2 linked regions of the Oryctolagus cuniculus genome follow. The protein of the gene in region 2 interacts with the protein of the main gene of each other region in a pairwise test. Links are inferred from orthologs where the notes say so. Each region holds a gene or a part of one and is shown on either strand. Other genes may lie near its edges.

What was found.
Region 1: the proteins of TSKS (region 2) and TSSK2 interact in binary tests that used the Homo sapiens proteins (3 or more experiments, as listed by UniProt). The link is inferred for Oryctolagus cuniculus from reciprocal best matches to the Homo sapiens genes TSKS and TSSK2.

Annotation. Positions count from the first base shown.
Region 1 is NC_091452.1:26,932,564-26,936,280, reverse strand, and holds TSSK2 (testis-specific serine/threonine-protein kinase 2), read right to left. Parts: upstream 2,217-3,717; 5' UTR 2,084-2,216; coding exon 1,019-2,083; 3' UTR 793-1,018; downstream 1-792.
Region 2 is NC_091449.1:7,788,726-7,792,531, reverse strand, and holds part of TSKS (testis-specific serine kinase substrate), read right to left. Parts: intron 2,332-3,806; coding exon 2,236-2,331; intron 2,108-2,235; coding exon 2,024-2,107; intron 1,849-2,023; coding exon 1,738-1,848; intron 1,355-1,737; coding exon 1,068-1,354; intron 613-1,067; coding exon 418-612; intron 160-417; coding exon 1-159. UniProt on the Homo sapiens protein: May play a role in testicular physiology, most probably in the process of spermatogenesis or spermatid development.

The sequences.
Region 1 (3,717 bases), on a different chromosome or scaffold from region 2:
CTTAGCGAGGCCGGCACAGGACACACAGGCCCACTCCCCTGGGGTGCGGTCCCCACGCTGCACCCCTCCCCCTGCCGTGGGGCATGAGGCAGCTTCCCGAGACTGTTTTCTATCGAAGCCTCTCCTGTCATTAAAGAACACTTGGTGTACTTTGCACGGGTGCTGGGGGCTCAGGGAGAGGGCTGCTGGCAGGGAGGAAGTGGGGAGGGGAAGGAAGTGGAGGTCCATGGGTGGGAGGGGAAGGGGTGCTGTCCAGGTGCTGACCATCTCAAGTGCTGGGCCTGCATATGGGAGCTGTCACCTAGGAGCAGTGGGTGACCAGAGAGGAAGCGCAAGACCCTGGGCAGGGTGCCACCCCTGACACTGCCGAGTGGGGCTTGCAGGTCCACAGGGTGGAGAGGGCACAGGTGAAAGGTCTCAGCCCTGGGGGTCAGGGTCACTGGTATCAGACGCCCTAGGGTGCTGCCGAGAAGGACACTGGGAGAGCGGCTGCGTGAGGGCGCCGGTCAGGGTTGGAGTGGGCCGCCCTTTGCCGTGGCAAGGGAGAGGCACGGAGCTGGCCAGCTTGGAGGCGCTAGGGACAGGCAGTTCCAGGGAAGATGCTCGCAGGGCCTGGCAGGTGGACTCCGACACCGGTCCCTGCCTCGCCCACAAGGCCTCCCGCTACGTCATGCCTGTGCCCGGGCAAGGCTCCCTGGCCCCCTAATGCTGGATGGAGACCCCTCCCCCACGCCGCAGAGGGGGCGGTTGCCTGAGTCCTAGAGAAAAAGACTCCTCACTGGGCACTTTGGATGCTTTGTATACACTTTGTGGTTTATTTGGTGATCGGCAGTCAGCGTCTCCGCGACTGAGTGGAAGAAAGCTAACAGAACGTAATCAAAATAGTGTTTTAATTGACGAATTTTACTTGTTCCATGCACCTGTGCCTTCTTCCGCTCCTATCTGCCTCCTTGGTGTACTGGAGTGCACACTGCGCGCCACACACCCCCGCCGCCGCCCCCGGGCCCTCTCGCCACCGTTAGGTGCTGGCTTTCCCCACCTCGGCTCCGGAGATGTGATGGTCTTTCACCCTGGAGGTCTCGGCCAGCCTTTCCTCCACCTTGTCCTCCTTCTCTGGCATCACCAGCAGCCGGTGCTGGGTTTTGGCGCCCAGCTTGTGCTCGGGCCTGGAGGCTTGGCGGGCATCCAGTTTGCACTCGGCCCGAAACTTGCCCTCCCCCTCCCTCTTGAAGGAGGCAGAGGACATGGCCTTGGGCTTGGGCGGCTGCAGCCACGAGTGGCTGAGGATCTCGTCGATGTGCAGGCGCCGGTTGACGTCGGGCTGCAGGATGCGGTAAATGAGGTCCTTGCACTCCCCGGTCAGGTTCTTGGAGCGCGGGAAGTCCACGCGGTGCTCCTTCTGGATGCGCAGCATCTTCTTGATGTCGGAGTCGTCGTAGGGCATGGAGCCGCACACCATGATATAGAGGATGACGCCCAGGCTCCAGATGTCGTAGACCTTGGGCTGGTAGGGGATGCCCTGCAGCACCTCGGGGGCTGCGTACGCCGCCGACCCGCAGAAGGTCTTGCTGAGGATGATGCGCCCGCTGCCGTCCCGCAGGCAGCGCTTGGAGAAGCCGAAGTCGGACAGCTTGATGTTGAAGTCCTTGTCGAGGAGGAGGTTCTCGCACTTGAGGTCCCGGTGGACGACGTCCAGGTCGTGGCAGTACTTGACGGCCGAGGAGAGCTGGCGGAACATCTTGCGCGCCACGTCCTCGTGCAGGGCCCCCCGGCACTTGATGAACTCGAGGAGGTCGCCCTGGACCCCGAGCTCCATGACGATGTAGATGCGGCCGTCCGACGTCTCGAAGATCTCGTAGGTCTTGATGATGGAGCGGTGGTTGACGGTCGCCAGGATGTCCATCTCCCGAGGAAGGAACCTCTCCACGAAGTCAGTGGGCGTCTTCTTGCGGTCGATGATCTTGACCGCCACGTTGAACTTGAGGCGCTCGGAGTAGGCAGACTTGACTTTGGCGTAGGAGCCCTTGCCCAGATTGATGCCCACGATGTAACCCTTCTTCCTTAGGACCGCGGCATCGTCCATGGTGCCCGGAGCGGCTGGCGCCGCTGCCCCTCTACATCCCCTCCCCGCCTGGGCCAGCGGGCATTGTCCTCGTTCGCGCTGCAGGGAGTCGTCTGGCTGGGCTGGGCCTGGACTCGGAGGGGTGGAACGCTCGGCATTGTCTCCAGGTGACTTCAGCGAATGAAGTCACAAAGCCAGGCTGCCTGGAGTGGGGACTGGGGCTTGAGGGGAACGGGGCCCCTGGAACCCTGGAGGCCAGGCCAGCCCAGCAGCAGTGCCTGCTCCCCGCCCGCTTCCCGCCCGGTGGAAGGAAGCCGGCACCCTGGACTGTGGTAACCTCCCTGCTTCTTCTTCCTTGCCATGGCTCCCCATCCGCGAATCGGGCCCCCAGGGGGCGGCATCTCAGGGCCAGCCACGGTGCCAGTCCTGAGCCCGTGTCCCTCTTCTGGCAGTGAAGGCCGACCCTGCATTATTCCTTATCCTGCTAGGTTTGATTTCCTGCAGCCCCTCTGCAGTATGGACACCCTCGGGGCCGGTGTCCTTGGAATCTCATGGTGCCTGCTGGGAGGGGAAGGTGTGCCCTGGTCCAGCCTGATGGATGGACAGAGGCTCTTAGCCCGGTGGACAAGAGTAGCGCAGTGTTGGGGGGTGGGCAGGAGCTGGTGGGAGGTCTCGGGCAGAGAGCTAGGGAGATGGACAGGACTCTGTGGGGGAGGGGGAGAGATGCAGCGGGTGGGCCTCTGGGGTCAGAGAGGAAAGTGGAGAAAAGGCCCCAAGTCAGGTGCACGTGCCAGTGAATGTGCAGGTCTTGGGTGTTGATGGGGCCCGAGGGCTGGCCGCCTCCAGAGCATCAGCCAGGTGAGCAGCCAAAACGCCTGTGTGAGACGGGGCCCAGGGGCCTGAATCCTGTCCGTTTGGCCCTCTGAGGGGCCTGGGCAGGGACTGCCCAGCCTTGCACGTCATTTGCATCTCTCAGAGCACCTTTTGCACCTGGAAATGGGAACATTCTCTTTCTGGATTGTGCATGTGTGTGCGTGTGCATGCTTGCACATGCACGTGTGTGCATGTGTAGTGTGTGTGTCTATTTTCCTTTGGAAATGTGGCACTCTGTGTGTGTCCCCTTAGCCCTTTGGAAGTGCTGGTGTCTATGGTCCATCACAGACCATCTGTGCCCATGGCAGCTGGGCAGGAGGTTTAGGAACAGAGAGAAGACCCATGGCATGTGGTGTTGGGGTGGGGGTAGTTATAGGAGGTTTCAAAGCAAAAGTGATGTTGGTGCTGTGTGCACGGGATCAGCAGGGCCCTACTAGGTCGATGGGGCTTGGGAGAGGGGAGGGCAGTGAGCCATCTGACCTCTTGGCCAGAGGCCTGGCCCTGTGGACACACCTGCAGCATGCAGGGTGCACCCTGTGTCTGGTGGCTGCAACGGAGGATTTCGGGAGCCGGACAGCAGACTGGCGGTGAGGCTGAGAGGAGACTGTGGGTGGGCCGAGGTGGGCGTGGCCCCTCAGGGACCACCTTCCAGCAGCATACTCTGGTTGACAGCTTCCGCTTGATGCTTCTCTTCCTCCTGGGGCTCTTTGCAGCAGGGACGGCCAGCACTTCACTCCTTTGTGTCCCTGAAGGTTGCTGGCCAGGACTCGGGAGCAGGACCA
Region 2 (3,806 bases):
CAGGAGCCTTGAGGGGACCGATCCAAAGTCACGGAGAGGTCGGGCCCCCTTCGGGAGTTCTGGAATTGCCGCCCCAGCTCCTCCAGAATCGGTTTCACCGGGCCTAGCCCCTCCAGTTCGCTCCTGAGAGAAGCCACGGATACGGCCGACCGCTCCACCCTGAGGCAGAGTGACCAGTGCTGCAGCGAGGCCCCCAGGCCCCCACCCATTACCAGCCCCAGGTCCCCGGCACGCTGCCTGCCAGCCCCTCTGCCCGTCATTTAAAGGTGTGGAACCCACTTCTCTCATTGGTTCCATCCCTTGGGCAGGGCACGCCCCCTTGCTCTTAATTGGCGCTGCTCCACGTCAGTATTTGGTCGGGCACACTTGATTGGCCCCGCCCGGCTTGGCCCCGCCCCAGCCCCGCCCCTCGCGTACATGGTGCACAGTTCGTCCGCACGGCCTCGCAGCTCCTGCAGGCCCCGCGCCGTCTGCGCCTGCTCGCGCTGCGCCCGCTCCCACTGGCCGAGAAAGCCGTCCAGCCTGCCGCCCAGCCCCCCGAGCAGCCGCAAGGCCTCCTGCACGGCGCCCTCCTCCTGGTGCCAGCGGGCGGTCAGCGAGGACACCTCCCTCCTGTGGGGTCAGAGAGGGGTGCGGTGGGAGCCGGGTTGGGACACGCCGCAGTGACCCCGCCTCCCACCCGATCTCCACACTCTCCCCTGCCCTGCTGTCCTCCAGAGCTCCCCCATCTGCTATTCCGGCCCTGCCACTGTCAGGGCTCCAAGCTCCACCCCGCTCCCCCAGGCAGGACCTTGCCAAGGCATCGCTCACCCCGGGCCTGCGCCTCTAGGAGAGGAGATGCCACCCACAGACCTAAGACACGGGTTCTTCCAAGTCCCCTCAGCCCCTCCTGGCTGCACCCCCTGCATGCTCTCCGCTGTAGGTGCCTTCTCTAAGTCCCGTCTCCACCTCCACCGTGGCTCAGGCCCCGCCCCTCGAGGCCCCGCCCACCTCCCTACCCCTTGCCCCGCCCTCGAGCCCCGCCCGCCCCGGTTTAGCGCTCGCCGGGGCCGCGTGCTACGTCGCACCTCAGCTCCTCGAGGCCGGCGGACACCTTCTGCAGCTCCTGCTCGCTCACGTGGGGGCTCTCGCCAGCCCGGGGCCCCACGCCCCAGCCGCCGGGGGCCAGGCCGCGCGGCCTCGGGGGCTCGTCAGGGCTCCCCGGCGGGCCCGAGCAGCCCTGGGGCGGCGCCGCGGGACCCAGGCCGTGCCGGGAGAGGCCGGCTTCCAGCTTCTGCTCCAGCTCCTGTAGCTCCGCCTCCTGCCTGCGCGGGGTCTCGTCCTGCAGCTGCTGCTGGAGGTAGCGCAGCTTCTCCTGGGCGCGGGTGGGGGAGGGCGGGGCGGTCACTGCGGCCAGCCCACGCGTCCACCCCCAGGTCCGCGCGGGAGTCCCGAGGGAGAGGAGCGGGCCCGGACCAGCCGCACCCTTCGAGGCCCGGCTGGAGGCGTGGCCCGTGCCTGTCCTCTGCCCCCAGCCTCCTGGGTGTCAGAGGCCCGTGCGCTTCCCCGGGGTTGCGTGGGGGACAGCGGTGGCCGCGTGCACGGGGCGGGCTCAAGTGCGTGACTGCACGCAGGATGGGGCGCCCATCAGAATCCCTCTTGGTGGAGCGCCGGTGTGCATGAGCGACAGGGGCACGTGGTGGCGCCCCAGGCCCCCGGGCGTCCGGCCTTGAGACCCCCCCCGCCCCGCCCACTTGCCTCCAGCATGGCGGAGTTCTGCTTCAGGAGGTTGGTCTTCATTTCCGCGTCCTCCACCGACCGCGTCACCTTCCGGCAGTTCTCCTGGGTCAGGACACCAGGGCGCCGGCCCTGCCTTCCCATTCCAGTTCCGCCCGCCGGCCCTCGGCCTCGCTGCTTTGCCCTGGGCTCCCCCCGGCACGTCTGCTCTGCAGCCCGGCTCCCGCCTCGGCCAGACCGGCCCTGCGCTGGCCTCCTCCCGGCCCTGTCCCCGCCCCGCGCCCCGGTCCTGGGCCCCGGGTCTCACCTTGAGCTGGCTGCAGTATCCTTCCAGCTCCTCGGCCTCCTGCCGCCTTCGCTCCAGGTTCTCGCTCAGCACCGAGCACTCGCTCTGGGGCGTGCAAGGGTGGGGGGATCAGCTAAGGCGGCGGGGACAGCCCGTGATAGGCAGGATCCCCCTGACCATGTGGAGGCTTGGCCCTGGAGGAAGGGGCGGTACCATGAGGGGGGGGCTCCTACCTGCAGGGTCTGCACGTGCTGGTTGACCCGCGTGGTCCTTTCCTTCAAGCTGGTGATGGAGTCTTTGGCACGGACCAGTCCGCTGTTGACCCCGCTCTGGAGGAGAGAAGGAGATGGGGACACACTCAGGCGAACCCCAACCCTCAGAGACGCCTTCTGCAGCTGCCAAGCCCTGCTCACTCCTGGACTTTGCCTTGGAGTGGCTGTGTGGCCTTGGCGTGGGGACTGCACGTCCTTGATTCTGAATATTCCGGCTGGTTCTGACCACGTGACCTGTTCCAGCCAATGGGAGGGAGTAAGTGGCCCGATGTGGCACTGGTGATGAGCTGAAAGGATCCGCTAAGCCCTCCCACATCTGCCTTTGCAAGAGCTGCAGGGTGACAGTGGAAGAACTAGCTGGGTGCTCCCTGCTGATGCGCCTGGGAGGGCAGCAGAGGACGGCCCCAGTGCCTGGGCCCCTGCACCCGCGTGGGAGACCCGGATGAAGTTCCAGGGTCCTGGAGGCGGACATTTGGCCCAGTGATTAAGATGCCTCTTAGGGATGCCTGCACCTGTATCACAGTGCCTAGGTTCAAGAGCCGGCTTTGCCTTCCGTTCCAGCCACCTGCTAGTGTGCGCCCTGGGGGGTAGCAGGTGGCAACTCAGTGGGGTCCCTGGCGCCCAGGTGGGAGACCTGGGTTGAGTTGCCAGCCCCTGGCTTTTGCAGGCACTCAGGGGTGAGGCAGTGAATGGGAGATTTTCCTGCGTCTCTGTCTCTCACTTTTCAAATAAATGATTTTTTAATTAAAAACAAAATCACAAAATATAGTCAGAGAAATGGCAAGGGAATTTAATTCTAGTGGTACACTAGAATATGTCAGTCTAATACAAAAGATGGCAGGGTTGATTAACAGCATATAAAATAAATAGCAAGCTGGGAGAAGAAAGGCCCTCCTTATCAGTAATTAAACTAAAAGGATCAGGACAGATAGTGCGGCACCGTGGGTGGAGCTACTGCTTGGGATGCCCCTTCCTCTTCTCTCTCTTTCTTTTTTTAAGATTTATTCATTTGAAAGTCAGAGTTATACAGAGAGAGAAGGAGATGCAGAGAGAGAGAGAGAGAGAGAGAGAGAGGTCTTCCATCCGCTGGTTCACTCCCCAGCTGGCTGCAATAGCTGGAGCTGCACCAATCCGAAGCCAGGAGCCAGGAGCTTCCTCCAGGTCTCCCACGCGGGTGCAGGGGCCCAAGGACCTGGGCCATCTCCTACTGCTTTCCCAGGCCATAGCAGAGAGCTGGATGGGAAGTGGAGCAGCCGGGACTTGAACCGGTGCCCTTATGGGGTGCCGGCACTGCAGGTGGTGGTTTTACCCGCTGCGCCACAGTGCCGGCCTCCCATCTCTTGTACGAGTGCCAGTTTGCGTCCCAGCCGCTCTGCTGCCGATCCAGCCTTCGTGCACATGGAAGGGCGGTGAGTGATGGCCCAAGCACGTGGGTCCTTGGCGCTCACCGGCTCCTGGCTGCTCTGCCGCATTCAGGCTCCCTGCTAATGTGTCCTGGGAGCAGCAATGCCGGCCACCCACGTGGGAGACCC